7 linked regions of the Callithrix jacchus genome follow. The protein of the gene in region 7 interacts with the protein of the main gene of each other region in a pairwise test. Links are inferred from orthologs where the notes say so. Each region holds a gene or a part of one and is shown on either strand. Other genes may lie near its edges.

Region 1 (4,724 bases), on a different chromosome or scaffold from region 7:
ATCCATCATCCAGCTTACGGAATATACGCTGAAAATAGCCATTTATCCATCATCCAGCTTACGGAATATACGCTGACACAAGTCTTTTAAAACTATGTGTTTATAGCTTTTCTCCATAGATTGTGAATTCCATGAAAGTAGGGACTGTGTGTTGATAGATCCAAGATTTTGCACTAAGAAATTAACACTGTTGTTTAATACAATGGAATCCCTCAATTCAGGTAGAAATACTGAGGTTCATAATATGCTAGAGGCCACAAAGCCAATAAATAATTTAACCCAGTTCAAGTACAAAGGAATTTTGCTTTATTTCTTAAGAGTTTACAACTTTATAATACCTGATAAATTTATTCACGATAAAACCGAAAAAATAACTTTCAGTACACATATTTTCAGGTCATTATTAAAGCATCCCACAAAAGCATTTGCTGAACAAATTAGCTATGGAAGTCTCCTGTATTATGCTAAATGCTGGGAATATGAATTCCAATCACACAGATTCCATGCCTTAACGAAACTCAAGTTTCTTAAGCACACAGAATTGATCCAAGGTTTGGCTGTTTCCAGATTTAAAGAACATATCCCACTCTAGATCGACTAATAGGTAAAAATGTCCATCACACATGAGCACGTACATGGCCCAGAATTAATAAATTATTTTTCCCTTCAGAAAAAAAAAAAATTGCTAGTAGGGAGTACGAAGGAAGTTGTGCTGTGTGTGCAAATGTGTTTTGAAAAGGAGTGGGACAGAGACTAGCCTGAAAGGAAAAGAAACTGGAAAACCGGGTTTAAGGAGAAAACTAAATGTAGAGTGGCATATGAGAATCACAGTTGTTAAAGCATCTTCTACAACAGCTTTTCTGCACAGAGCTGTAATCCTTACATAGCACTTAGTAAAAGGCCTTACAGACCCTGTGTTTCTCGACGCCAAAGAAGCTTCAGTAACCACGTATTCCGCTTCCTCCGCACCGCCCAGCAACCACAGTTAGTGTGTGACAACCCTAGCCCCAAGTCCCTTCCGCCTCATAAATGGAAGCGGCCCTGGCCGCTGGACTGGCGCAGAGGAGGGCAGGTGAACCGATGAGACGACACTGTGGGAAACGCCATAGAGTACGCGCTCAGGCCAAGGAAGGGGTCAGCCTCAGCCTCCACCTCAGCTTGGCCCGTCCAGTGAGAGATGTGGTATCAAAAAAAGACCAGAAACCCCAGCTCCCCGAAGGCAGCGGGTAGTCCCAAACGGCTTCCTAGCACTTAAAAGCGCTGGTAACTTCCGCACCCGCCCCCATCCGAAGTTACCTTCCCAAGTGACATCGTAAAGCTCTGAGACCTTCGCCATCTTCCCAAGAACCTAGAGGCAGCGGGGTGAGAGGGCGGGGAGCCGCAGTCACGTGACTCGCGACCGGGCAGGGGCGATTTACGTAACTGGTTCTCATTGGCCAAGAGAGCAGAGGGGCGGTATTCGCTACGCACGTGCACGCAGCTCTGCGGAGGGGCTTTCGGGGAAGGGGGCGGAGCGAGCTGGGTGGTGCGCCGCGGTCCCGGAATCTGAGGCTTCTTTGGGTGCTGGCGGGGCGGAGGTGCTGACTCTGGGTGAGGTGTGTGTTTTTGTATTTGTTTTGCCGTGGATTTTTTTTAACAAATGCTGGGTTTTTAGTGTCCGCCAATCCTAGCTTTTCATTTTTTTCTGCCTAGGCGTGTTCATTCTCTTCACACTCCCCAATCAACAATTTATTCTCTTCAGGGCTGGCCGTGGTGCAGTCTTTTGCACGAATCCTTTACTAATCGCCAACTTTCCTCCTTCTTTAATGGGATTTGCTTTCCGTTCACTTTTTAATCGACTAAACGGATACTCTAAAGTTTTTATTAAATCTCTTCGAGGGACTAAGTGGGATTCTTTGCGCTTTGAAGTTCCCTTGAATACCCTTGGGCTAGCCTGTACCCTTCGTTTACGCTTGTCGTGCCTGTCATTGCTTCATCCATGTCTGCATGCCACACTAGGTTTGAAACTGTAGCGAGTATGTAAGTACTTACAAGAAATGAATGTACGAATAAGACCTTTACAGTTCCTGAACTTCGCTCCTCTTTTCTCCTGGTGGGTGGATGGGGGAGCCTCCTTTCCCACCAGACTAATTGCTTTTAGGGACCTTTGGACGTCGTCTCCTAGAGCTAAGGAGAAATGTCTGGACAGTAAGCAAAATATTTGAAGATGATAAGCATATATTTAGTATTTGGAGCAATGAGAACCTGAGATTGTAGAGGAGGAATATGTAAGCTGAGGAAAGACTAAAAATCACTGCAATGCCGCCATAGTTATGGGTCAGTGAAGAAGGGGCAGTAAAGGTTGAGAAGTAGAAATAATCCTATCCCACAAGTCAAAACAGTGGAGGGGTTTTATTCCCAGCTTTATTGAGGTATAATGGACAGAAATTGTGTATATTTAAGGTATAGGAAGTAATGATTAGATGTAAATATATATTGTGAAATGATTACCACAACCAAGCTAATCAACACATCCATCACCGTACCTGTTTCCCGTGTGTATGTGTTGAGAATACTTAATCTCTCAGCAAACTTCAAAGTATACAATACAAAATTATTATAGTCACTATAATGTACATTTGATCTCCAGAACATATTCACCTTACAACCAAAAGTTTGTACCCTTTGACCAACATCTCTCCATTCCTCTCCTCTCAGCTCCTGTCAACCACAGAGGGTTTTTTTGTTTGTTTAAAAAAAGAAAAGCAATAACCGTCAGGCCATCTATTCCAGAGAAGTCACGTAATGACAGAAAAGACTAGTGAAGTTTTATACTTGGATTGAATTCTGAGTGAGCTGGCATTCTTTCTAAACAGACTTAAAAAATCTTTCATTCAGGAAGTTAAAAAATGCTCCACCCAGAAATTCACGTATTCTAATTCTTCAATAAAGCAACATGGTGCAATGGGAAGAAAGAGAACTCCCAGATCTGATTCCAGGTTCTACCTTTTAGTAGCTGGGTGACTTTCAGCTTGTATGTCTCTCTCAGCATCAAAGAGGCTTATATGTGAAAAGCTAATAATATCTGTTGAAAAAGAAAATAGCTACCTTGAGTTGTTCATCAACATGAAAGCAGATACTGCAGCTAAAACCCCTGCGTGGCACTCTCATGGAGGTACCCTCCTGTATCTAGAAACACTGTTTATGTGCTAATCAGTCCCAAATTGATCAATCTTCTCAAAACCCACTCTGCTTGCTTGACATACTTGCTTAGATGGCTAGTTGATATGCATCTCAAAGTTAACATAGCCCGCACAGAACTCTGGATTCCTGCTGTCACCTTCTGCATTCCCACCTTGCTTTTCCCCATCATAGGTAAGGAAACCATTTACCTACTTGCACAAGTTAAAATTATAGGAAGTACCTTTGATTCCTTTTTTTGACACCCCCCCATATCCAGTCTATCAGCAAATTCTACATTGCACTTCATCTGCTTTTCATTTCTATTGCTGTTACCTTAATCTAAGCCACAACTTGTCTCTTCTGAATGATTGTGATAGTCTCCTAACCACCTTGGTTTCATTCTTGCTATGTAAAATCAGTTTTTTTATACAACAACGCTACTGGTCTTAAAAGAAAAATCAGACTACAGAAGTCCCTTGCTGATAGGCCTCAAATGGCTCCCCATGGCAATAAAAATATACTTCAAACACTTTACCATGGTTTAAAAGGCTTTACTCAGCCAGGTGACATTCATCTACCTCTTACCTCATCTCCTACTATTCTGTCTCTCCTTTCTAGCCCCCAGCCATTCTCATCTACTTACTAGTCCTCAAACAGGCCAAGCCCCTATCTGTCTTGTATCTGGCATTTGCCCACCTGCTTCCTTTTCCTAGAATGCTCTTCTCCACATCTTTTAGTGACCATCTTCCTTTCACCATTCATATCTCAGTTTTAAATGTATCCACTCATAGCCCTTTTTTGACCATCCAATAAAAAGTAGCTCTTATATAATGCCTATTCATCTTCATGACATTTATCACTATTTGATTTCTTGTATGTTTACTTGCTTACTTTCCGTATTTTACACCACTTTAAGCTGCTTTGGAGTACCAACTTTATTATTTTAACCTTGGAATATCCATGCTAGGAAAATACCTGAAACAGTAAAAATGTTTGTTGAATGAATGAATTAGATTAAAAATGACAGCTTGTATTAATATTTATTAAGGATAACATTTCTTAATAGTATACATATGAACTCTTGTTTAGTTAAGCATAGGATGTTTTCTTTTTATAGCTAATACTTTCCTAAAACTTATAAATTCAGTGAATTCAGGGACCATGCCAATTTTTTTTTTTTTTTTTTTTTCGGGTAGGCCCTGCCAGGGTGCCCCGGGTGGGACTACTCTGTGCCAGCTCCTCCCCCGGGTGCCCAGAGTCCACCAATTCATTTTTATATCAGCCGTTACTACAATACATTGCATACAAGAGCCACTTAATATTTTCATGAAATTATTGATGCTTAACATTTTTTTGGTTTGTTTGAGGGGACTAAAGCCTCTAGGAAGTCCCAAGTATGTATTTTTTAAAGCCTTGCAATGGATTTTAAAGACTATAACTAATTGAGGAAATAAATATTTTCTAATCACTTCAAGTAAATATTCCATAGCTAGCTACTATTGTCTGTCAAGCAATAAGCTATATGACACTGGGTTAAAAGTCATCATTTTCAGAATTTCTAA
Region 2 (4,437 bases), on a different chromosome or scaffold from region 7:
GTTATATTACTAAGACCACCTTAAGAAAAATAAAAAGCTCACACTGCCTCCTACTGTTAAAAGGAAAAACTCATGAGGTCAAATATGGTCCACAAACTGAAGGGTGTAAATGAGAAAAACAATGTTATCTTAGGCTGTTTTCTTTTAAATCTATTTCCAAAACAAAATCTCAAAAGGGTTTAGACAAGTGTCTACAACCCATTCAAATGTACTGCAAAAAACATCACTAGGTATGACTTCAGAATTGAAAACCATCTTTCCCAAATACATTTTTGACATGACATGTAATATAAATGGGGGAAAAAAGGAAGAAAAAAATTAAAAGTGCCATCCTACTTTGCCAGATGGATGGTTACTTTCCCAGATCTAAGGCAATATTAATAGCTGAGTTCTCTTGTTCCCTACCCACAATGAGGTAAACTGTTCCATGTCAGATCAGATTCAAAATACCTGTTCATCTTCTAATCAGATGGGAATGGCCATACCCAGGGCTTCCTTGACCTTGATGATTTTCTCCAAACTTAAGAAGTTGGGAGTAATGTCATCCAACTTATCACTGAGACACTTCTGTCTTCAAAATTTGACAAATAGCTCTGGAGAGTATCTTGCACCTACCCCATCCACCTCAGCTATGATACTGTATTAATCACTGAATATGAAACACAGAAACACAAACAATAGTTTTGGATTTGTTTCTTTAAAAATGACATTTGTATTAAAAGTCTTAAAATGAAGAGACAATGATTAAACGCATGAAATTAAAAATTACAATTAGTTAGAATTGGTACATCACAACAGTAAAATTTTGCTCTTTGCTTCTGGAGGAACACCCTATAACAGGTAATAAAAAAATTAAAAATAATATAAAAGGGGAGCTAGATACCTGAAAATTTAAACAAAATGAAGCAAAAAAAAAAAAAAAAAAACAAATTCATTGCAAAAGATGGAAATTACATTTTAAAGGCTGAAAATAATAAAGAAATTCACTAAACAACAGGCCCTATTGTCCTGGCTCCTTCAGAAAGATTACTGAAAGGAAACTGGGAAGTGGTTTGGGGGAATAGCAGATTGTGGGATATGGTGGGAAGTTCACAGGTTGGCACCGGCTGGAACAGCTGAGTTTTGAAGGCACTCTGCAGACACAGGGGTGCTGGGGGCCCTGAATCACATTTACAAAGTCTTTGTACTGTATTTTAAAAAGCTAGTCATTAAAATCGGTTACTGCCAACCAAAAAAACAAAAACAAAAAGGCTAAACTCATACACATACACACACACCACACACACACACCACACACATACCATAGTACACACGAAAATGTGCAGATCTGTAACATTTTTTTCACAGCTGATTAAAAAAAAATACTACCGTTCTCCCCCAGATTCCCCTTTGATACAGTAGGTAAACAAAATAGATTTTTTTTTTCCACAAATATCAGCAGACACTTTCTGGCACCCCACACTGTATTGGCATCAGTGTTAACAGTCCCAGTTCAGATGTGCAATACTTCAGATTGGATACACTGTAACAAGAATCCAACTTTGCATAGACATCCTCAGAATCGCAATCAGTCATGGGGTTGCCCTTCCAAGCTGGCAGAAAAGGAACCCGATCTTAATTTCCAGCTACTCCTGGAAAACAAGGAAAAAACAAAAGTTTCTTCCTCTCCTGCTCCTTCATGTGGTTCTCCCGGACTTCCTTCCATGTATTTAAAACTTGAAACTAGAAAAACGGTTGTTGACCAAAAAAAGAAAAAAGAAAAGAAAAACCCTTTCTACCTTCTCCCCCTCCTTTTCCTCCACACCTCTCCCCGGTTTTTTTCCCCCAGGCTGAAACTTTTGCTTGGTGAGTGTCAGGCTGCCGATACTGCGCCCTAACGGCTACTTAAACGGGGAAATATGCATCAACCAAAATCAGGGAGAAACGTACATGCTGCAAAGAGCCACATTTCCACCAGAGTATCGGCTGGGAAGGACGGGACACCCCCTCAAGCACAGGGTGGAGGCAGGGGCCGCCGGCCGCGGAGGCCAGCAGGGCTCCCAAGAAACCCTGCCCAATGCAAAGTGGTCTCCAATCTCAAAGCAAGAAAGAAATCACATTTAGAGAGTCGGATGCGTTTGGCTTTTGTGCGCAGAGCGCGGCCGGCGCGCGGCAGCCGCCTCAGAGGATCACGCAGGCCGAGCAGCAGCCCTCATCGCCGTTGGGCTGCGCCGCGTAGTTCATCTGCCGCACGATCTCCGCAAACAGCTCGTCTACCGAGGCTTTGTTTTTGGCCGACGTCTCCATGAAGGGGCAGCTCCACTCCTCAGCCAGGGCCTTGCCCTCGCCGTACGAGACCTCGCGCTCGCCCTCCAGGTCCACCTTGTTGCCCACCAGGATCATGGGCACGCGCTCGTACCGCTTCACGCGGATGATCTGGTCCCGCATGGGCTTGATGTCCTGGAAGCTCTGCTGGTTGACGAGACTGTAGACCAGGATGAAGCCCTGGCCGTTCTTGATGTACAGGTCCCGCATAGATGCGAACTGCTCGGTGCCCGCCGTGTCCAGGATCTCCAGCACCGACGGCGACGAGTCCACCTCAATCTCCTTGCGGTAGAAGTCCTCGATGGTCGGGTCGTACTTCTCGATGAAGGAGCCCGTCACGAACTGCACCGTGAGCGCGGACTTGCCCACGCCGCCCGAGCCCAGCACCACCACTTTGTACTCTCTCATGGCTCCGTCAGCGCTCCGGCCCCGACGGGGCTGCGCGCCGGGGAAGGCTGGGCTTGGCTGCTGGACTTCTTTTCCCCTTCCTCAGCTCCACAGGAAAAACCCAGGAGAGAGTAGCCCAGAGAAGAACGCAAGGCAGAAACCACCGAGCGGGGGCCGGGCGCCGGGCCGGCCGGCGGCGGCGTGTCCCTGGGGCGCGGGTCCGGGCCCCGCAGCAGTCCGCGGCGGCAGCAGCAGCAGCCCGGGCAGCGAACCGGGAGGACAATGCCCGCAGCCTGCGCGAGGCGACGGCAGAAGCTCCTCGCTGCAGCAGCCCGGGAGGGCGGTGAGGCGGTGGCGGCTGGCTGCGGAGGTGGCTGCTAATTGCGCGTCGGGCCGGGACGCGCGTGGCATGAGTCCCCACGGAACGTGCGCCCACCACCGCGGCCCATCGCGCTCTCTCCCGCAGCCTCTGCTGGGCGAGGGCTTCCTATTCGCCGCGCGCAACCCGGCCCTCCCCGCCCCGGCGAGCATGCCCAGTGCGTTCCGACCGCGCCTTGCCCGAGCGGCCGCTCCTGGTTTTCCGCGGGGCCGTGGGCGGGGCTCCGGATTTGGGTCCTGTTTTGGGAGCGGCGCGAGTCTAGGAACTGGCTAGGAGATGGGGTGTGTGTGCGAACAAGGGGGCGAGGAAAGTGCATAAGGAGCAAGCAGGCCGCTTTCTTTTACAGCTATGGGAGTGGTGCACAAGGGCGGCGGCTCTGCGAGAAGCATGTGGGCGCCGCGGGCCGCCTCAGGGATGGAGTAGGCTGTGCTTCTGCCAACTCCCGTTATCAAAGGCCCAGGGACGCCATTCACCCAGCCCCGGGCGGGCGTGTCTGGGGGCCGGAAACCCGAAGGCTTGTGGGTGCCGTGGAATGCACGCGCAGCCGGCGGAGCGTCCCTGCCCCACAGATTTTTCTAAACCGTTCGCCACAGAAACGCTACTCTGCCTTCTCTGTGCACTGCAGCCTTGGACAAAGAAAACGGGAGGTACTCCAGGCCTCAAATACTACCCCGACTAGGCAAAGGGTAGCTTGTGGTACCTGCAGCTCTCCGGGAGCAGGGTCCCTCGGGTCCTACCCATCTCCCTGCTCGGCTGCGGTCAAAACCCGGAGACCGGATCACACCCCAATCCAGAAGTCTCGTGGCCCCCACAGTTCAGGGCATGCTCAGTCGCGGAGCGGGTTTTGGGGCTTGGAAGTAGGAAGCTTTTGCACCACACACCCACACTGTAGCTCAAATTACCTCTCCGAGACTCCGCACTCATTGGTCCCGGGGCGCGAGTCTCACACTCCTATGTGTTGCTCATTGGCTGCCGCCAAGGCTCTGTCAGTTTGGGCCGCTTCATTGGCTAAAAAGTAGCCTCCGCTTGCGATTGGTTATTTTTAGAGATTGAGCGGAGAGGCAAAGGCACAGCTGTTCTTTCTCCGCTGCTCCTCCGCCCCCTGCCTCCCACTTCCCCAACCCTGGCGTTTTGAAGTAAAAGTGAAAAAGTAAGAGGCATTTAGGCGGAGAGCTCAGAACTAAATATAGTTCTTTGTTGGTGTTTTCGAGAGAGTCTGACTCCTCACTTTCCAGTCAGGACTGCCCCTTACAGGGAGCACAAAGGGCTAATTACAGGTTTTGGTCCGCAAGGGACCGCAGAGTTGCCAAGTTTTTTTGCTGGAAGTGGGAGGGGCGAGGAGCTGAAATGGGCCACTTGGAATTCGT
Region 3 (3,834 bases), on a different chromosome or scaffold from region 7:
TAGAAACACCCCCACCTTCTTATATCCTCTTTTCAACTGTCTTTAGGTCTTAGGGACTATCTCATTACCTTCATTATGTGATAGCTGCTGTTGAATTCTAAAATTCTATGGACAGGGTTTTATTTTTTTTTAATTTTTATTTTTTTGCTTATCCAGTGCTAGCTAGGAGCCCTCTGAAGAGTAGCTGCTCAATTAATATTAGGACAATTAAAGTGCAAGTGAGCCGGAAGTCAAATGTATTGCTATTTAATTTCTCCCACATTCCTGAGAAAGCTAACCCAATCCAGATACATATACTTCAGTTTTACAAAGAAAGACTAAAAGGAATAAAACAAAGCAAGAATTGACCACATTTTACTTTTTTTTCTCTATTTCATGATCCCACCAACTTTATTGCTAGGTAATTTCCTTTTCACAAATTCTGTATTCTAATGTCATATTGTCTTGTTCTAGATCACAGAAAAAGATTTAAAGATTTTAAATTGTTTTACATAATGCAAAAGTTCTTGTTCTTCAACCTGACATATTTTAATAAATGAGTTTTTCATGCCATTCATAAACTTAGATTCTGAAACTAAATAATTCTACAATTAAAAGAAAGAACACTGAAAAACAGGAAAATGAAAAGATAAATCATTTTACATACAAATATATTATATATGATGTTCCCACCAACTCCTCTTTGGCCCTCTATTAATTAGAAGGTTAATATTTTCTTTAATTAAAAGTAAAGAATATACCTCAGACTTCACAAGGAGTGGATGACACTGTTGGACATCACACTGGAACATGCCAGGAGCAGTTGCAACACTGTCTCCCTCATCTCTCAAAGTCTTCTCTTAATAGAGGGAAGACAATGGGGACACTGTCATTGACCTTGGCCGAAGCCTCCACATTCTTAAATAATCTAAGCAAACCAGGTATGTAACTTTCAAATTTATGAACAACAAAAGACTAAAAGTAGTAAGATAAATCAAAAATAAAGCAACTTTTGCTTTTCTTCTCTTTCTGTCTTCAGATTCTTCTATTTTACTGTGGCGTTATTTTAAATTTCTAAAAATAACCTTACTCCAACGCCATGTTATTTTGCTCTGTATCACAAAAACGATTTTCAGATTTTCTATTTGTATTTCAAAAACCAAACTCTTATTACTAAACCAACCTGATAAACAGAAATAAGTGTGTGATGCATGCCATTTCTAAGCTTATATTCTGAATTTAAATAACCTTTCTATTTTAAGAAACATCACAGGAAAATTCAACAAAGAGATATATCACCGAGTTATTCATGCAGCACAGGAACAGCAGAAGGCAGCAGGTCTTTCAACTACAAATTGAACAATTTGCCTTAGATCTCACATGGGGTGGGAAGAGCTGCTGGATGTGTCCCTTGAATGTGCACTAGTCATGGCAGTAGTGCCACGCCTGGCTGCAACTCTGGGCCGGGCTTTGGCTTTCTCTTCTTCATCTCTCAAAGCCTCTTCATAAAGGAGTGGGAAGTTACTGGGGATGGTATCATTCACCTTGGCCAAAAACTCTAGGACTTTCATCTTGCTGGTTTCAGCATAGGCTCTTGGACCCCACAGGAATTGATAGCGTGGGGGATCACTGTTGGGCACCTGCTTGTACTCCAGATATTCTTCCTGCACCAGATCTTGGGAGATAAGCTTTCGGGCATCCCCAAAGATGATATGCCTCTTACCATCATAGATCCCCAAAACATTCAGGAATTCCCAGATTTCCTCTTCACTGGCACAGTTGCCACTTAAGAAGATCACACTCAGTAGAGGCATCAGAAGCCCATTCCTTGGATATTTCCAGGAACTGCTCTCGTTTCCATCGTTGGTGGGATTCAGCAAGCTGACAATGGTGTAGGAGTGACTGGTCGGGTTGACTTCCTTCAAGGAAAGGCCAAAGACCAGCTCCATGCGCTGAGAGGCTCTGCTGAAGATCTCAGGGAAGTGCTCCTTGTACTTTTTGCTGATGATCTTCAGCATTTCTGCCTTTGTAGTGGGCTCTTTCATTTTATACTTGTACAGCAGGAACTGCACCAACATCTTCGTCTTCCTGGTTATAGGATCTTTGATTGAGCTCTCAGTGGATGTTGAGGCCTGGAAGGAACTTGCCTTTTCCTCACCTTGGCTCTTGTCACTTTCATCAGATCCAGTGCATGACATAGCTGCAGCACCAGTGGTGGGTAGTGCTCTCTGAGGCCTCTGCAGAATGCCAGCAGCAGGGGAGCTGGAGGGAATATCCCCCAAAACAGATGAGGAAGAGGAATGAGACTCTTCTTTCTCTGCTGCAGTGGCCTGAGCAACCTTGGTATCCTGGGTCTGACCACGGGTCCGCTGGCGTTTCTCACGGGCACGGAGCTTACTCTTCTGACCTCGAGGCATGATAGCTGTGATTAGGCACAACAGGTAGGAGAGTAGCCAGAAGGGCAGGTGATATGGTGCCTGGAGAAGAGAGATTGAGATCCTGAGAACACCTTTAGTAGGCAGATACTACCTTGGCTTTTCAGAAACCGTCTCTGCAGGATTCCTTGAGAACACTGCTCTAAGTATTGACTGGGCTATTGTTCTTCGTCATTCTGTCCCCTGAGAACTCAGCTGAGGAAGTTACAATGTGCCTTAGGCTGCAGCTTGCCAACCCTGCTGGGGGCTGACTGGGTTCTCTCTGTGTTCTGGCTTGGAAAGGATCCACTCTGATTACTTTTAGAATTATCCTGTCAGCTCTTGGCAGGGCCTCAGCCTCCTTCTATTGGTGTTGTGAAGTAGAATCTTTAACTTTCTATGGGACCCAGATGAGGGAAATGTAGGGGCACCTCAACCCACCACCCCTGCTTCGAAGCATTTAGTGCTCTCTGTCCTGGGATCCTCAGGTCCCAAGTTTGCACTCAGTTTCCTCATCTGGACTCCATGCAGGGTTGTGGACTGTCTCTTCTGATGACTAATAACTGCGACTTCAGACCAAGAATTTCACCTTTTCTAGTTCTGACATAAAATGTGATGGGCATCTATGAAAAAAAAATTGATAATCTGGGCTTCACTAAATTATAACTTCTGCTCTGGTAAAGATACCACAAAGAATAAGACAACTCCCAGATTGGGAAAAATTTATTTTCAAAAGACATATCTGATAAAAGATTGTTAACCAAAACATACAAAAAATTCTTAAAACTGAACAATAAGAATGGACCAACCCTATTAAAAATGGGCAAAAGATATAAATGAGCATCTCAACAATAATATATACAGAAAGTAAATACGTACATGAAGTGATGCACAACATCACATGTCATTAGGGACTTGCAAATTAAAGTAATGTGAAACCACTCCATACCTATAAGAATGGTCAAAATCAAAAACTCTGATAACCCCAACTACCGACGAGGATGTGGAGCAATAGGAGCACACTGTCATTGCTGGTGGACATGCGAAATGGTACAGCCACTTTGGAAGACAGTTTATAAATTTCTTACAAAACTATGTGTAGTCTTATCATATGATCTAGTAACTGCACTTCTTGTTATTTAGCCAAATGAGTTGAAAAGAATGTTCACAAAATAACCTGCACACAAACATTTATAGTAGCTTTATTTATAATTGCCTAAACTGGAAAGCAGCCAAGATGTCCTTCAGAAGGAGAGTGGGTAAATTAAGAGTATAAAATATTATTCAGTATTAAAAGGGAAAGAACTATCAAGCCACAAAGAGACATGGAGGAAACCTAACTACATATTACAAAGTGAAAGAAGCCAATGTGAAAAGGCAACACAATGCATAATTCCATCTATAGACATTCTGGAAAAGGCAAAAGTGTAGAAACAGTACA
Region 4 (4,422 bases), on a different chromosome or scaffold from region 7:
GCGGAGAAGCTTCCTACCAGGAGAGCTTTCTCCCAGCCAGTGCAGCCATGCCAATGTCCCTGATAACCAGACACGTGGCCATGGATTTCTCAATGTGCTTTATTTTTGATGAAATGCAGTGGGCTCACAAGGCTGACTTTGGAAACATGAGGTCCGTGGGTTGTGGAATAAGAAAGGGCGTCTTGGTTGCAGAGGAAGGGAGGGAAGCCCACAACTGCCTTGGGGAGCTTCCTGAAGGGCAGGTCTGATCATGCCTCTCTGGGCTACGGTCTCCTCACAGTGGCTGCTCCTTCTTGGAACTGAAGTGGTCCCCATGGGCTCTCTCTCCCAGCTCAGCATTAGTCAGGACTTCTGGCTTGGCAGCCCCAGCGGCTGCCTCTTGTGTCCCTTGCAATGCCTCTTTTCCACCTGACGTGGTCACCGTCCAAACCCCCTCCAGCATCGCCCTGTTCCAGGGGGCCTTTTGTAACCACCTCCGCCGTCCACTGGCTAAAGATAAGGTTGAGCAACTGCAGTACTTAGGACCTTGGTCCTGCCCCTGTGGCTGCCTGGAGGTGACTCCCCTGCTAGACAGAGAGGCCTGGGAAGGCTAACATGGACCAGGAGTGGTGCTGAGCCTGTCTCATGCATCTGCTCAGCAAATCTGCACAGTAAGTCCATAAAAGCCTCTTTTGGCCAGGCGCAGTGGCTCACATCTATAATCCCATCACTTTGGGAGGCCAACGTGGATAGATCACCTGAGGTCAGGAGTTCGAGACCAGCTTGGCCAACATGGAGAAACCCTCTCTCTACTAAAAATACAAAAAATTAGCTGAGTGTGGTGACGGTGCCTGTAATCCCAGCTACTTGGGGGGCTGAGGCAGGAGAATCACTTAAACCTGAGAGGCGAAGGTTGCAGTGAGCTGAGATTGCACCATTGCGCTCCCTGGGCGACAAGACCGAAACTCCGTCCAAAAAAAAAAGCCTCTTTTGACCAGTGAGAAAAGCGAGGCTCAGAGAGAAGAGGCTTGTCCCAGCTGAGCAGCAGAGACGGGTTTTCAGCTCAGCCCTAACACCAACATCCATGGTGCCAATGGATACCCTATGCCTGGCACAGGACGGGGTGCATGCTAGGTGCTCATGAAATGTTTGCTGAAGGCATAAGCAAGCCAAGACAGGCAGCCTGCTGGCACGGCTGGAGAGGCAGTGGCCAGGGCAGAAGCAAGACTCATGCCACCAGGGCTCAGGGAACACCACACCCACCCAGCCTCTGGCGTGCCTCTAAGAAGGCGGGAGAAGGAAGGCCAGCACTGGGTCTCACTAGGTGTTGACTATGGGTGCTTCCAGGGCAGGCACCTACTCAAGGGACTTCAGGAAAGTGCTGGGGTGGTGTGGCAGCCACTTCACCTCTTCACTCCCAGCGGCTTCAGAGCTCACTCTTGCCCACCTCTCACCTAGGACCTGACACCCACGTTTGTTTCTCTCACTGATCAATGTTGGGCTAACATTGTTGGACTGGTTCTTGTTGCTTCCACACACAATAGGCCAAGCAGCCACTTGCCGTGCACCTGGGATGGACTGGGGAGAAGGCAGAGGCCCATTTCAAAAATGCGGGGACAATCCTGCCTTTAAATTTTCTTAGATCCTCTGGGGAAGATGCCCAGGTTCTAGTTTATGTCCAGCTTGCTAGTGTCTCAGGTCCATTTGTCACCTCTGCTCAGGGAAACCCTCTCTCATTCTCTAGCTGAGACTGACTGTCCCTATTACACACTCACCCTGCCCCACCACTGCAATTGACATTTATTTGTGTTTTTGGAGATCGGTAACCATCTCCCCATCAGTCTGTGAATGCCATAAGAATATGGATTGTTGAGCCCTAGCACAGTGACTCATCCCTGTAATCCCAGCACCTTGGAAGGCCGAGACAGATAAATCGCTTGAGGTCAAGAGTTCGAGACCAACCAGCCTCGTCAACATGATGACACCCCATCTCTACTAAAAATATAAAATTTAGCTGGGTGTGGTGGTGGACACCTGTAATCCCAGCTACTCTGAAGGGTGAGGCAGGAGAATTGCTTGAACCCAGAAGGTGGAGGTTGCAGTGAGTGGAGACTGCACCACTGCACTCCAGACTGGACAACTGACACTATCTCAAAAAAAAAAAGAAAAGAAAGAGGGGGGACTGTTTTTTGCTAAACACAAATCAACCCCAGGTAGTACCCTGCCCAGCATTAGTAGTGCTCCCTAGATATCAGCTGAATGAACAAATGATTCTGGATCGGACTCCTAGACTTGCTACTTCTCTGTGACCAGTGTGACCTTGGTCAGGCTGCTTCACCTCTCCGTGCCTCAGTTTCTCCCTCTATAAAATGACACTTGTGATCACCACCCACCTCACCTAACCCTTTTAAGTCAGTATCACAATGAACGTGGAGAAATTTCTACTGAGAGAAAGTGCACGGTAAACAGAAGCTGCAACGCCCTGAGAAGGCGGGACTGGCTTGAGGGAACCCAGTCCCCGCCACGCCTCGCCACCCCTGGCCAAGGGTCGTGCATCCCCTGGACGCCCTGCCTGGCTCCCGGGCCGGCTGCGGCCCCACTTCCGGGTCCTCCACCGAGGCCAGAGCCCCTGGTCCCTGCGCCTGATAGTAGGGGTCGCGGCAGTCGGTTACCTGGCAATGCGGTGGCGGTAGCCCACCGCGTTACCTAGCAACAGAGCGGGGCAGAGGCACTGCAGACCCCCGCCCAATTACCCAGAAAGAAACAGGGTGTGAATCTCCCGCCCTCCTAGCGTCACACCAGGGTGGCTCACAGGCCGGTTACCTAGCAACAGGGTGGATCCCCGCGGGGAGGAGGACCCCGCCGGTTGCCGGGCAACGGGGAGGGTGGGGAGCCCTCAGTACCTTGCCCTTCAGGTCCAGCACGTAGACGGCGCTGGCGGACATGGTGGCTGCAGGAAGCCTCCGCAGCGGCCAAGGGCGGCGGCAGCGACTACCGGGCGTTGAGCGAGGCCGGGCGCGGCCCGCGACAGCTCGCCTCCACTTCCGGTTCGGAGAGCCGCGCGGGGACCGTTATGTCCGGTCCGGGAGTTGTCAGGAATGCGCAGGCGCAAGACGGAGCGTGCGCAGGCGCGGGACGTCAAATGTGACCATGTTTCTTGCTCTTGTCTGAAGAATCCCGGAAGTAAGGCCCTTGGAGGGCGGGGCCAAGTAAATCAGGGTACCTGGTGGCCGCTGCCAGCTGAACAATGGATCCAGAGCAGCTGGAAGCCGCCTCCCGTGGGCCGAGTTAGGCGAGAGAGCCTGGTGATGGAACCGATCTTGGGCCCAGCCCTATAGAGCTCACAGTCTGGTGGGGAAGCCTATGAAACAACTGTACAATCACCAATTATGATAAGCTCAAAAGGGAGGGGTAAGGCCGTGGTTACTTGGAAAGAGGTCAAACTAACTTTCTGAATGGGAGTCAAACCTTATCAGCGGTCACCACCTGTCAGTGTCAACATTTATCAATGAATGGGCGTCCCTGTTTATTGCCTGGAATGTTGTAAAAACCAGCCTCATTGAACCTTGACCCAAACAAGTACCTTGTTTCATTTCTGCAAAGTTAGTAGTCGGTAAAGCAACTGGTGGCTCCTCATGAATCCACTGAATCATATCTAATTTGCTTTTATGAATGATGGGGCTTTGGAGAAATGTCTGCATTCTGTTCCAATTAGCCATCATAGTACCCTGGGGATCCCAACCCTACAATATCGGAGTGATTGACCCAGGAATGCCTGCCTCTTTCATATCTTTTATATTCGCTCCTATCTCCGTTTTGGAGTTTGGAAAGATGATTTTTTGCAACTCGGTAATTATATAGACTTTGCTTAGGATAGAAATGTGAATCCCAGCACTTTGGGAGGCTGAGGCACACGGATCACCTGAGGTCGGGAGTTCAAGACCAGCCTGGCCAACATACTGAAACCCTGTCTCTAATAAAAATACAAAATTAGCTGGGCGTGGTGGCGCATGCCTGTAATCCCAGCTACTTGGGAGGCCGAGGCAGAAGAATCGCTTGAACCCAGGAGGCAGAGGTCAGGGTGAGCCAAGATTGCACCATTGCACTCTAGCCTGGCCAACAAGAGCGAAACTCTATCTCAAAAAAGAAAAAAAAAATGAAAAAGAAAAAAGAAATGTAACCGAAACTCTAGAAAAGCAAAGTAGAATGTTTGAAGACTACTAAGTGACTCCTGGGCTGGAAGGGTTCTTGCACAAGGCACAGAACAAGTGGCCAAGAGGCTTTTTTGTTTGTTTTTGAGACGGAGTCTCTCTCTGCCACCCAGGCTGGAGTGCAAAGGTGCGGTCTCAGCTCACTGCAGCCTCTGCCTCCTGGGTTCAAGCAATTCTCCAGCCTCAGCCTCTCGAGTAGCTGGGATTATAGGCATGTGCCACCACGCCAGGC
Region 5 (3,963 bases), on a different chromosome or scaffold from region 7:
GCTCATCATAACATTTGATCATTTTCTGCAACAAAATAATACATTCACAGACTCTGAAAGCTCCCAAAATGGAAAACTAGTCTTGAAGTTGAATTTGAACTGTTTAGTAACAGCTTACCTGTCACGAATGGTCATGGTAATCTTCTCGCCAAAGGCCTGTTTGAGCACCTTGTGCGCTTTATCAGAGCTCCACCCTGCACAGTTTTCACCATTGATCTGGAGTACTTGGTCCCCAAATCTCAGACCAACCAATGAGGCTGGAGAATTAGCCTGGACTAGCTGAACAAATATACCCTAGATAATAAGAAAATAAGTTTTGTCATTAACCTCTATTATGGTATGGTTCTAAAATGCTGGAAAATTAGGAAACAACTGTTTATGTTAAAAAAAAAAATCTACCCTGTGACAAAAGAAAGAAAAAACAGAAAAAACTATATGAGTGTAATATATCAAGTTATCACCTCAAAAGAAACCGAAACATTTATCAAGGCAGTAACTCCAAAGAAGAAAGCAGAAAAGTGAGATTTCAATGGCAATTTCTATACCAAATCATAACCCACCTGACCAACCACAACCCCCACCACTTTCAACTTGGAATACATAAGGAAAATAAAGGACAACTTTAATAAATGCAAGCATCTATGAGTCTCATAGAATACCAAATTATCACTACATCATCAGTCATATTTAGGGGACAAGCAAGTCACATGTTAGAAAGTTTGGTGAGTTCTTTTACAGCTTAATAAATGACAGTTTAAGGTCATAATTGTACCTTTTGAGCTGAAGTGTTCCTTTACCCATTTGTTACATTGTATAAAATCAGGTAAGATTAAAGTTTATTTGATAGCCTAAAAAGATGGGCATATTAAATCTACATGCACAGGCTTGTAAAGAACACACTATGAAATAAATATAGAAAACTCTAGTACTGTTAACCAGTAACTACACTTATATGGATAAAGTTACTTATGTAAAATCTCTATCAGAAATTGAACAAAATATAAATAGATAAGTATAAAAGAAGAATAAGACAGGTAGAATATAAGAGCATCTACAAGGCTAGACCCTTCCTACAATCCCAAACGAGGTAAGACATTTCTATCACACGTCTGTTACACTGTAGAGGGATAAGCAAGAATTAGGCAGCGCCCCATAAATGAACCAACGCGCTTGGCCAAGTGAACAAATCCACTCCAAGTGTTACCTACAGTGGGGCCAAGGGGTCTGTGAAAAGTATCTTTTCTCTTTAGGACAGAGGAAAGAACACAAGAGCAATCCTGGCATAAGGGGCAGCAATATACTGTATTCCCTGAAGAGAAAAGCAGAAAGGGCACCAAAGTCAGAGCATCCCAACCAAGCACGCAGATGTATTCTGAATAAGATATAAGTGAACAAGGCCATCAATGGCCTCAGCCCCCTGGGTGGGCAGGTGGGGTTGGGGCTTCCTGCCAAGATCAGGCTTCTCCATTTACAGCAGTGCACTACGCTAGAGATGTATGACTGAAACTGAATCCAGTGAGGTAATGGCTAAAACTATAAATCGGGGTAAAGACTCAGCATGTCCTTAACAATTCTAAATGGTTCCTGAGAGTTTCATATCTTCAGTATGGTAAAGTGAGAGGTAAAGTAATCATAAAGTCAAGTAATAGCTGCCCTAATTAGAAAAAAACTTTTACTCAGAAAATGACATATTAAATTCAAATAACAGTAAAAACCATCTCACAAATACTGATTGGTTTAAAAATGCACACATGTTGACATCAACTCTCATTGGTCAGTTTTTTCTTAACCTTCACATCTGCTCTATTTAATTGCCACAATTCTATACAAACTACATTATAATATATGTAGGCCAGTGAACTGTATTCCAGTTAGAGTACTCAGAAAAGAAAAATGTCTTTTAAAGTAATGTGGTCAGAAGTCCCAACTCTGCCTCTGCAAAAGAGAACATCCCCAATTGAACAAAATTTGTATATTTAAAATATTCTCAACTATAGATACACCATCATAGTTAAAGCATTTCCATTTCAAATTATTTTAACATTAGTCACTTATACAGGTATTAAAAATACTTACATTATCTATTGATTTAAGCCTGAGACCAATTTTTCCATCTTGATCCTTACACAAAATGACTTCACGAATCCCTTGCTTAATTTCTGCTCTACGAATTCCAACATCGTTACCAGTTACAGGAGCCACCATATAGTTCATACTGGAAGGTCTTGCTACCAACTGCTGACAAAACCATATACGATGTGTAAATATTTAGAATCACTCTCCTCGAAAAAAACAATGATAATTAACTGGAACATACTCAATTATGGCTTTCCAAAAAGCAATCCACAAATAATTTCCTTCAGATAAAGTTTTATGTCTATGAAAATGGCACTGGCTCCATTATTAATTCTTCATTAACTTATTCCCACATATATCATCTCTAATAGATTCAATGATTCTCTGTTACCTTTTGAATTCACTGACATTTGTTTCACTGGTACATTGGCTTGTCTTCATCTCAAATGCATTACCTTTGAACTTAAAGGCCACATGCTTGAAACACATTTTCCAGAGGATTCTTTTATATGTCATGATCTCTGACAATCTACTTATCCTTTCAGAATTTCCAAAAAGGGACAACCTTCCTACTCAGTGTTACTGAGAAGGCTAAATGAAAAGTGCGTATGTGTATGGACCTGGCACAAGTAAGACAGTCAACCATTATGTCTTCTCCCCTCTAATGACCATCTATGGATTAACAAATCACAGGCATAAACCAGAATGCCCCAGAATACCTATATTAGGGACCTGTGTCAGGTACCATGCTTCAAGTTTCTAATTTTTTTCAAGTTTTCCTGACCAAAATTGGTTTCTTATTTTAAGTGGAACCTTTCCCCAATCAAAAAGAAAATGGAATAATATCAGGCTATCAAAAAAAGGAAATCTTGACATTTGGGCACATGAATAAACCTAGAGAATATTATGTCAAGTGAAATAAACCAGACACAGAAAGACAAGTATTGTCTAGATCTCACTTATATATGGAATCTGAAAAGAGTCAAACTCACACAAGTAGAGTTACCTTCATTCTTTCCCCTGTCCACGTCAGGGGCTGGGGTGGGCAGGGGAAAGAATAAGGGAAATGTTGGTCAAAGTGTACAAACTTTCAGTTATCAGTACATTCTAGAGATCTAATGTACAGCATGGTAACTATAGTTAATAACACTGTACTGTATACTTGAAATTTGCTGAGAGTACCAAGTGTTCTCACCACACACCAAAAGAAATGGTAACTACGTGAAGTGACAGATATATTAATAACCTTGACTCTGGTAATGATTTCACGGTGTGTGTGTGTATCGATACATCAAGTTGTACCGAAATACACAGTTGAATATAAACAATTTTTATTTGTTAATTATACCTCAATAAAGCTGGGGGTGGGGTGGAGATCCAGATGAAACATCAAGAGAAAAAAAGTATGTGAAATGAAAAATTCACTAGATGTGGAGAGTTAACAGAAATCTCCAGCAACAACTTAAAGTAATTTAAAATTAAAAAGAAGAAAAAGAAAAGGCAATGGTGCACTGAGGAACCCTGGAGATTCAGACACAAAAAATGAAGGTTTAGGTTACCCTTCTAGGTATTAAGTTTTTTTAAAAAAGACCAGTTGAAGTATTGCCCAAGGGCAAAAGAATCTAACCATCCATGTAGTGAAAAAAGGAACTTCTAAATTTTAACTATAGCCTCATGACCAGTTAATAAAATAAGAATCGGAGCAGCTATGACTCTTCTTCTTTGTATCTGTATATTTTCTGTAAATACAGCAATTAACCTTTCTGTTCCTTTATACCTCCTTTTACCTTTATGTAAGAACTGTTGGTGGTGGTTAACTTTACACTTCTGCCTTTAAATTAAAAATATTCTGTTGGAAAAGTGAATACTTAGATGGGTAATTAATAT
Region 6 (4,618 bases), on a different chromosome or scaffold from region 7:
ACCTCCAACTGTGAGCACCTAATGAAAACCTAACACACACATGGTTGCAATGTCCACGTCCCCTAACAAGACTGCACAACATTCTTCACAGCCCAGTGCCAACCTACTTATCCCATCCCAAGGATCCTCCCCATTGTTCCTTACATATCAACAGCTTCTGGTGCGCAAGCACAGACTGAACGCAGTAACAGTTTTAGGATCTCATGGCACCACTGCTAAAAGCACTTTGTGTGGCTCAAGATATAAGGATACATACTCATAGTTAAATAACCAGTAAACCAATAAAAGACATTATTTAAATACTGATGGGCCAGGGCGGTGGCTCACTCCTGTAATCCCAGCACTTTGGGAGGCCGAGCCAGGCGGACTGCCTGAACTCAGAAGTTCGAGACCAGTCTGTCCAACATGGTGAAATCCTGTCTTTACTAAAAAAAAAATACAAAAATTAGCCAGGCGTGGTGGCAGGTGCTTGTAATGCCACCTGCTTCGGAGGCTGAGGCAGGAGAATCACTTGAAGGGAGTCGGGGGTGGGTGGCAGAGGTTTCAGAGCACCAAGGTTGCATCACTGCACTCCAGCCTGGGTGACAGAGTGAGACTCTGTCTCAAAAACAAAAACACAGATGGCCAGGCAAGGTGGCATGAGCCTGTAGTCCCAACTATTTGGGAGGCTGCGGCAGGAGAATTGCTTGAACCCGGGAGGCAGAGGCTGCAGTGAGCCAAGATCGCATCACTGCACTCCAGCTTGGGCAACATAGCAAGACTCGATCTCAAAAATTAAATATGAGGCCATGTTTTTTCTCTTTTGAGACGAAGTTTTGCTCTTCTCTGACAGGATGGAGTGCAATGGCACGATCTCGGCTCACTGCAACCTCCCCCTTGGGTTCAACCAATTCTCCTGCCTCAGCCTCCCGAGTAGCTGAGATGACAGGCACCATGCCCAGCTAATTTTTTTTGTATTTTTGGTAGACACAGTTTCACCATGTTGGCAGGCTGGTCTTGAACTCCTGACCTCAGGTGATGCACCTGCCTTGGCCTCCCAAAGTGCTTGGATTACAGATGTGAGCCACTGCCCGGCCAGAGGTCGTGTTTTCTAAAGAACTTCCATTAACTTCAGGAGCATAAACACTGCTAAGTTTGGAGCCAGTGTTTCTCAACTGGAGCAATTTTGCTATTCTAGGGCCATGAAGCAACATCAAGAGACTTTTGGGTTTTTTTTTTGAGACAAGAGTCTCACTCCATCATCCAAGCTAGAATGCAGTGGTAACACTGCAGCCTCAATCACCTGGCCTCAAGCAAACCTCCTGCATCAGCCTCCCAAGTGCTGGGATTACAGGTATGAACCACCACACCTGGTATGAGAGAATTTCTGGGTATCACAACTAAGGTGGAGTACTCCTGGCATCCAGTGAGTAGAGGCCAGTGATGCTGCTGAATCCTGCAACAGACAGAACAACCCACCACAAATAAAGATTACCCAGCCTGTAATCCCAGTGCCTTGGGAGGCTAAGGCCAGCAGATCCTTGAAGCCCAGGAATTTGAGACCAGCCTGGACAACGTAGCAAGACCCCATCCCCAGCTACTCAGGAGGCTAAGGCAGGAGAAACTCTTGAGCCTAGGAGGTTTAGGCTGCGGTGAGCCATGATCATGCCACTGTATTCCACCCTGGGCAGCGGGACACCCTGTCTCAGAAGGAAAAATAAAGGATTATCCATCCTAAATGTTAACAGTGCTGAGATTAAGAATTCCTGCTCTAAACTTATGGGAAACAAGCAGCAACAGGGTCGTGCACCGACACAGGTAAAGCAGGAAGCCAGCACCAGGGCCATGGGCCACAGTGCCCCGTCCTCACTGGAGCCCCTGCCCTCACGCTCAACAGCACCTGCTGACGCCTCTAAGCAGGCCCTGTTCGAGGAACTTGAAAATGCACTCAGGAACATCCCCCAGGTTTAAAACCTCAGGCCTGTACTTTGTTATAGAAATGTTAGCATAATTTAACCAGAAAAAAACGCAGACAAAGATCAACTGGACAGCGCTAACTGACTCACTTTTTCTCTCTCAGCTGTCGGAGACGGTGAAACACATTGATGACGTCCCGTATGCGTCTTGGAGCCTCTTCTATCTTGGAAGCCAGGTGAACACAGGCCATTGACACATGCTGAAGCGGAAGCATCGCAATACACCCATGTTTGTCCCCAGCCACCGCATCCTGACAGGCCAAAGGCTTGAGGGCTATTCAGACCAAAATGCACCCAGGGGAAAAGAAGCCGAGCAACAGAACTCTCAGAAACAGAACTCTCCGGCCCAGAGCTCAGACTGGGGAGCGGGCACTCCCTCCCGAGTAACCGGGCAAACAAAAGCCGCTTCCCCTCAACATATTCCGCTGGGAATGAAGCGCGGGAGGGGCCCTTACCTCCATGGAATGCTTCACGAAGGACTTGGTGTAGAAGAACCGCTGGAACAACACTTGCCCGGTAGCCATGGCCACCTAGAGTGGAGGAAAGTTTCTGTATTTTCAAACGCACGGTCCAAAGCCTTCGCAGCCAAAAGTCATAGAGTAACGTGGGACTCCCCATTCAGAAGCAAACACTGAAACGTTCCCCAGGTCCACAAATGTTCTTTGCCTCCCGCCGTCTCGGGGTCCAGCGCAAGAGGGAAGGCCCCGGGTCAGGGGCAGGGGCGGGCTTGGGATTGGCACCAGGGCCGGGGCCGGGGCCTGGATGCGGGCGGCGCGGGACCCACTCTTGCCAACAAAGGGCGGCCGCTGCCCGGGCGGTTACCTGGGCCCGAGGCCCGAGGCTCGCGGCCGCACCCTCACCTGAGGCAGACGGAGCAGGATGCCGGCCGCCTGGATGAGCTCGCAGCCTACCACACGGAGGTCGGTCTCCGTGTCGGTGTCGAGGCCGCTTGACATGGACGGCGTGAAGCGGAGCTTGTCGTCAGGTAGGAGGCAGTTTTCCAAGGTGATGAGCACCCCGGAGTATAGCCGGTCCCCAATCAGCACACCTTGCGACCCGGGGACTGCGCCCCAAGAGCCCGGGACGCCGGCCGCGGCCGCAGGAGCTGCCGACCCCACAGCCCCAGCCGCCGCCGCCATTTTGTGCTGCCGACTCCCCTACGACTTCTTCCCGCAGGGCGGCTCCTCGCGGCGCTCTCCTGCTGCCACCGCCCCACCCCGTCTCATACCATTGGTTCGGCCTGCGGGCAGAGTGACGTAGCCTAGCGGCAATTGGCTACTCCACATACCCGTCAGTAACGCGCCTAACGCCGTCGCCGGAACCTGGCTCAGATCTGAGGGCGGGCTCGTTACCCAGGGTACTCCGCGGTGCCGGCCGACCCGGAAGTACGTCTGCCCCGAGCGGAGACGCGGGTGCCTGGTTGAGAGCGCCTGCCCGGGCGCCCCGAGCGAGGCGGGGCTTCTTCGAAGCCGCCCACGTTCGACCGGAGATCCATGATCGCGGAAGCGTGCGTCTCGGAAGTCCTATGGGTCAAGGGGGTCCATGTCGGCGGGATCTGGGGTGGGACGACCCCACCGCTATCCCCTGGGTGCGGGCTTGGTCAGAAGCTCCACTCGGCCTCGCCCTGAATGAGTCTCGCGTGCCTGATGTTCGCCGGCCGTCGCGGGCATCGTGTCTCCAGTTCTTCCCGACTCCAGGCTTTGGAGATGCCTGTTAACGCCAGACTCCCTCAAAGTCTTGCCTTCAAAACTCAGCCCTTGGGGAGAGATGGGTGGAGGATGACTAGAAACGTGGCCTCGACGTCCCTTCCAGCGTGGGGAGGCCCAAGTACCTCAAGGTGCAGGCCCAAGGAAGGAGTCCGGGGAGCGAGGTGCGGTGCGCTCCGTCTGAAGGAGCTTGGACAGAACCCCAAAAACGGCTGGGAGACAGTGAAGGAGTTCGTGACACCGCTGATCCTCCCCCAGGCGATCTCACGCACTGCCCGCCATGGGTTCACGGGTTTTCACCACCTGCGGCGCTCCTGGGGTAGATCACCGCTGTACAGGAGGAGCAGATGCAGGAGGTATCTGTTGCTGCGGTTACCCAAACCTTCGCCAGGACTAGTACAGGACCCCGGATGAAGATGGTGGGGAAGCCTGCACTGGGCAGGGAAGTGTGGGGCAGGAGGAAGAGTGGGGGTCAGCAGAGGCCCGAGTGTGAGTTCACACCGACCTGCCAGTGACTGCACCGTTTTGTTTTTTTTCAGAAGATTTAGAATTGAATGACTGCTCAGTTTACACGGGCTGAAATCCAGAGGCCACCATTGCCCCTCACCCCGCCCCCAGGTCCAGCTGTCCACTAGCTCTGCCATGACTTGACACTGCAGCTCAAACAGTACCAACCAAGACCCACTCTCCTCACCGTCTGCCATGGGCAACAGGATATGGTTACAGCTTCACCCATGTCCTCTTTCCCCAAGCTGGCAGTCTTGTGTGTTATAGCTACACACTGCAGGAAACCTCACCACACAGCTGGTTTCTTGTTGGTGCTGCATGCCCATTTCCTCAGCTGTGACTGCCAGAGGAGTGGGAGGTGGTAGTGCCTGCAGCCAATCAGGCCCAAGCCCTGGAGCTGCCTGGGAACAGGACCATGGCACCAGAGCGCCTACTGGCACAAAGCGAGTG
Region 7 (3,963 bases):
GCAGTTGCAGCCGCCGGTTCTCCGCCTCCAGGTCCTTCAGCTGCGACTCGCGCAGACGCACCAGCTCTTCCAAGTAGCCCTGCGAAGCGCCGACTCAGCTCGGGCGGCGGGGAGGACATCCCGGCCGCGGCCCCCGTCCCCGCCCCGCCCTGGGATGCCAGGCTCCCCCGCCCCGCCCACCCCCCCCCCAAGGCCCGCGGGTGTCGCGAACCTTCTGCGCGTAGACGATGCGGAACTTCTGCTCCATCTTGTGCCACTTGCTGTACCAGCTGTCCTCGTCGGTGACGAGCGGCAGGTACGGGTGCTCGGGCGAGTTGTCCTCGCTCGTACTGCTCTCGGCGCTGTGCCGCTCCTCCTCATCGGTCAGGTAGTCGTAGCTTGGGGGAGGGAACAGTGGGCACGGGCGGTCCCTCCCCTCCCCCCGCGCGTCCGCGCTGGCCCCCGAGGGCGGTGGGACCAGGACGTCCCCAGGAAGTCCCTGGGGGCCGGTCCCCGCCCCGCCGCAGTCGTGGAGCCGCTCACCTCTGTGTGAACTTTAGGTAAGGTGTGTAATCGATAACCACGGGGGTCTTCCCGTCCAGGACTTCCCCCTTTAGACAGAAGCTGGGGCAGAGGAGCCACAGGATTGGGGGTGGGTATGAAGGGTTGGGGTAGGAGATTTGCGGGGAAAACAGCCCCCTCCTCCACCGCAGCCAGGCAGACCCCACCTGAAGTCGATTGCGCTGAGTCCGATCAGCATTCCTGTGAGGATGGTGGCTTCGTCCCGAAGCATGATGGCTCCAGAGTCATAGAACCGTCTGTGGGAAGGCAGAGGATGGTGCAGCAGGCGCTGGAGCCCCCTCAAGTTGCTGTTGTTGGCTTACTGCCACCCCCTCTTGAAGGAAAGCTGATTCTCCTTCCTGATCACCCTGCAGGCCTGGAGCCTCTCTCGCCCCTCAGCCTAGGGCTCGAACCGTGGCCCCATCACCTAGAATGGGTGTTCCCTGAGTCCACTCCTCCCCCTGAGCTACCCTTTCCTCATCAAGTACTGGGTTACCCAGATTCTTCACATCTGGAAGTGAGTCTTAATCTTAGTGTTTGGTATATAGTAGGTGCCTAAAAAAAACGTGTTGACTTGAGCCCTGAAATGTGTAGACTGAGGAATCAAATGCAGCAAAAACATCAGGCTGAGTGTGGCTAGTTGGGAGGGGGAGGTACATGCCCCTCACCATACCCAGCTTCAGATGCACCTGGACACACAGGCACATTTCACCTTGTAACCCCCTGCCTCAGGCAGCCAACCTCCCTTCGAACCCGCAGTGCAGGAGTTGAACTCCCTGCGCAGGGACTCCGTGTCTGTGGATGGCAAGTACGGAACTGCTGCCATTGTTTGGAGAGCCAGAAGGGTTGTGTTGTAGGTCATGGAGCAAGCCAGCACATGTGATGGCTCATGGCTGAGGCTAATCCAGAGGCATGCCAGGGTGGAGTGTGCTGGGCAAGGATGGTGGATAATGGGCATCAGATTTGACTTGCAAGTGATGGTGGTGGTGAGTAGTTTGCCCTGGGACTGCAGGCCAGCCTGGAAGGGGGAAATCAGCTGTACAGGCTGCTGCTGGGACTTGCAGTCCAGGAACTGAAGGATGCTGCAAGAACTTAAGGATCAGCTGTGTTTGGGCAATGCAGATGCACCCTGAGACCTGTGGTCCGAGCTGCCTGGGAAGTCTGACCTGGTGGTACGGGTGTCCCGCAGAGCCGTGGTGATGTATTCTGACATGCGTTTCTCCATCAGTGCCACCCGGATCCATGCCCGGCCCTGGAAAGTATGTTCACCTTTACTTGCTGCCCCAGAGGGACTCATGTATCCAGCATCAGGTGTGGCCCTTCTACCCTGGGCTGTGGACAGGGGGTGAGGACCAAGAATCAGGCAGGCCCCCTGTGTCCAGAGCAGAGAGCAGCTGCCTGCTCCAGGCCCCTCACCTTGGCCCGGGCTGTGCTGATGTTCTCCATGTTCTCGATGCTGCTCACACAGTTGTTGGGCACTTTGCTGCAGGCCAGCCGGATATAGTCCCAGAAGCCCCGCTGCCCATCTGAGCTGAACCAGCTCACTGGACCTGCTGGGGCACAGGCTGAGCCAGGGCAGGGAGGGGACTCAGCAAGACCAGGGAGTTTGGAGAGGGTCTGTGTATCGGGGGTCTCCCATGCATAAGTATAAGCAGCTTCCCCCGACAAAGGTATGTGCACTCACATGCATACATGCAGCGGGCACCCCAGCACATAGCTTGCCCACTGAAGGGGATTATAGGCCAAAGGCCTCTCCCTCTTCCCAGATCTGTACACGAGCTTCTCTGCATGGCCCAGGTGGGGGCCAGGGTCAATCAGAGGGTTCAGAGTCCATGGAGTATATCAGAGTGGGGCAGCTGGGAGATAAACGCTGGGAGTTGGGAGGGCTGGACCATGGCGGGAGGGAACCTGGGCCCACCTTTGAAGCGGTGGCTGAGGATCTGCTCTAAAATGGCTGCAAAATTGACAAACTCCTCTGATGAGTCATCGATGGGCTCCGCTGTGTACTTCTCCAGCAGTGTTTTCACAGAGAACCTGGGTGGCATGGTGGGGAGATGGGGCAGTGGGATGTCAGGTGAGGAGACAGGCGATGGAAGCAGAGGAAGGGAACACCGGCAGAGCAGAGGTCAGGAAGGGCATGGATGTGGGGGTGGGCAGAGAGTGCGGGGAGACAGGTGAGGCTACAGTGACCACAGAGGTACTGGGTCATATGGAGTGAGAGGGTGGCTGGTGGGGAGGGAGGGTGACAGGTGGGAGACTGATTGACAAAATGAGTGAAAGGAGAGGTGACAGCCAGAGAAAGGAAGCTTCAGGAGCAAGGGGTGAGAGGGGCTGAAAAAATAGGAAGATGAGGTGCCACAAGCTGGGAGCAGTCCCCGAGACCCTTCCCCCTGGACTGCCCTTCAGAGTCTGTGTGTTCGAGGCCAGGGCCAACTACATGTTAGAAGCCAGTGTGTGCCCCACCCTGAGCTGTCTTCTGTGATTGTTGGAACAACCTTCAGTCCCTTTTGGGGATGGGGTCACCTGTGCCAGGGCATGTGAGTTGGCACTGTGCACGTGGAGTGTGGGCGTGCGCACGTGGCCAGGTGGGCTCCCAGCACACAGATACCCCCTTCCCCCTTTTCCTTCCCAGCTTGGCCTCCCACACACCAGCTGCCCAGAACCAGGCAGTGCAGAGCTGGGCGGGGGCAGGGCAGGGAGGTGCAGGGCGTGGGCCTGACACAGACACTGGGCAGGAGGGGGCACTGGCAGCAGATCCCTGGAAGGGGCTTGGTGGCCTGGCTTCTCAGGGAGAAAGGAGCCAAGGGAAGCCTGTGGGGCTGAAGGACCGAAGCCATGCAGCGCCCCCTTCTCCAATCCTGTCTAAACCTCAGGCTCCCTCTGCAGTTGCTACCCCTGCAATCTCCACCTGCCATCCCTGCAGTGGAGTGGGGCAGGGAAGAGGACAGTTTCTAACATCCCATGATTTCCCTATTGTGGGTGGCAGAGCAGGGGTGGGGTGTCCAGGGATATGGGAGCTGCTTGGAAATGTCTTTTTCTTCTTATATTTATCAAGCCCTATAATATGCCAAGCACAGTACTTTGCATGCATTACCTTGCCCATGCTCACCACAGCCCTGAGAGGTAGGTCCCGTTATTATCACTCTCATCCCCATTGTACAGGTAAAGAAACTGACAGTCCAAGAGGTTGACTGATCTGTTCAGAGTCACATGGCTTATGAGGACTCAAGCAAGTATGTCTAATTCTGATTCTGAAGCCCCTGCTCTTTCTGCTACATCTGTGGCCTCCTGGCAGCTGTCATGATCACCAAGGCCTGGAGCAGCCCCTGCTCCACTGCCCTTCGTCCTCTACTCTGCAATCTCCAGCCCCTGAGCACTGACCTCTGCGGCTATCAGGCCAATTGCACATCTGAGCCCTTGCCC

The links.
Region 1: the proteins of RUNDC3A (region 7) and EIF3E interact in binary tests that used the Homo sapiens proteins (3 or more experiments, as listed by UniProt). The two-hybrid records come from large-scale screens. The link is inferred for Callithrix jacchus from reciprocal best matches to the Homo sapiens genes RUNDC3A and EIF3E.
Region 2: the proteins of RUNDC3A (region 7) and RAP2B interact in binary tests that used the Homo sapiens proteins (3 or more experiments, as listed by UniProt). The two-hybrid records come from large-scale screens. The link is inferred for Callithrix jacchus from reciprocal best matches to the Homo sapiens genes RUNDC3A and RAP2B.
Region 3: the proteins of RUNDC3A (region 7) and MAGEB4 interact in binary tests that used the Homo sapiens proteins (3 or more experiments, as listed by UniProt). The two-hybrid records come from large-scale screens. The link is inferred for Callithrix jacchus from reciprocal best matches to the Homo sapiens genes RUNDC3A and MAGEB4.
Region 4: the proteins of RUNDC3A (region 7) and AP1M1 interact in binary tests that used the Homo sapiens proteins (3 or more experiments, as listed by UniProt). The two-hybrid records come from large-scale screens. The link is inferred for Callithrix jacchus from reciprocal best matches to the Homo sapiens genes RUNDC3A and AP1M1.
Region 5: the proteins of RUNDC3A (region 7) and SDCBP interact in binary tests that used the Homo sapiens proteins (3 or more experiments, as listed by UniProt). The two-hybrid records come from large-scale screens. The link is inferred for Callithrix jacchus from reciprocal best matches to the Homo sapiens genes RUNDC3A and SDCBP.
Region 6: the proteins of RUNDC3A (region 7) and CCNL2 interact in binary tests that used the Homo sapiens proteins (3 or more experiments, as listed by UniProt). The two-hybrid records come from large-scale screens. The link is inferred for Callithrix jacchus from reciprocal best matches to the Homo sapiens genes RUNDC3A and CCNL2.

What each region holds. Positions count from the first base shown.
Region 1 is NC_133517.1:88,597,862-88,602,585, forward strand, and holds the start of EIF3E (eukaryotic translation initiation factor 3 subunit E), read left to right. Parts: upstream 1-1,498; 5' UTR 1,499-1,595; intron 1,596-4,724. UniProt on the Homo sapiens protein: Component of the eukaryotic translation initiation factor 3 (eIF-3) complex, which is required for several steps in the initiation of protein synthesis.
Region 2 is NC_133518.1:32,250,138-32,254,574, forward strand, and holds RAP2B (ras-related protein Rap-2b), read right to left. Parts: upstream 3,154-4,437; 5' UTR 2,713-3,153; coding exon 2,161-2,712; 3' UTR 689-2,160; downstream 1-688. UniProt on the Homo sapiens protein: Small GTP-binding protein which cycles between a GDP-bound inactive and a GTP-bound active form. Involved in EGFR and CHRM3 signaling pathways through stimulation of PLCE1.
Region 3 is NC_133524.1:31,134,715-31,138,548, reverse strand, and holds MAGEB4 (melanoma-associated antigen B4), read right to left. Parts: upstream 2,533-3,834; 5' UTR 2,397-2,532; coding exon 1,356-2,396; 3' UTR 803-1,355; downstream 1-802.
Region 4 is NC_133523.1:14,819,250-14,823,671, reverse strand, and holds the start of AP1M1 (AP-1 complex subunit mu-1), read right to left. Parts: upstream 3,026-4,422; 5' UTR 2,925-3,025; coding exon 2,883-2,924; intron 1-2,882. UniProt on the Homo sapiens protein: Subunit of clathrin-associated adaptor protein complex 1 that plays a role in protein sorting in the trans-Golgi network (TGN) and endosomes.
Region 5 is NC_133517.1:14,818,147-14,822,109, reverse strand, and holds part of SDCBP (syntenin-1), read right to left. Parts: intron 2,239-3,963; coding exon 2,077-2,238; intron 295-2,076; coding exon 119-294; intron 1-118. UniProt on the Homo sapiens protein: Multifunctional adapter protein involved in diverse array of functions including trafficking of transmembrane proteins, neuro and immunomodulation, exosome biogenesis, and tumorigenesis.
Region 6 is NC_133508.1:39,584,550-39,589,167, forward strand, and holds the start of CCNL2 (cyclin-L2), read right to left. Parts: upstream 3,115-4,618; 5' UTR 3,095-3,114; coding exon 2,816-3,094; intron 2,486-2,815; coding exon 2,411-2,485; intron 2,230-2,410; exon of another isoform or gene 2,171-2,229; coding exon of another isoform or gene 2,156-2,170; coding exon 2,046-2,155; intron 1-2,045. UniProt on the Homo sapiens protein: Involved in pre-mRNA splicing. May induce cell death, possibly by acting on the transcription and RNA processing of apoptosis-related factors.
Region 7 is NC_133506.1:71,152,647-71,156,609, reverse strand, and holds part of RUNDC3A (RUN domain-containing protein 3A), read right to left. Parts: intron 2,872-3,963; exon of another isoform or gene 2,586-2,871; coding exon of another isoform or gene 2,575-2,585; coding exon 2,459-2,574; intron 2,106-2,458; coding exon 1,957-2,105; intron 1,793-1,956; coding exon 1,707-1,792; intron 798-1,706; coding exon 708-797; intron 604-707; coding exon 523-603; intron 378-522; coding exon 212-377; intron 80-211; coding exon 1-79. UniProt on the Homo sapiens protein: May act as an effector of RAP2A in neuronal cells.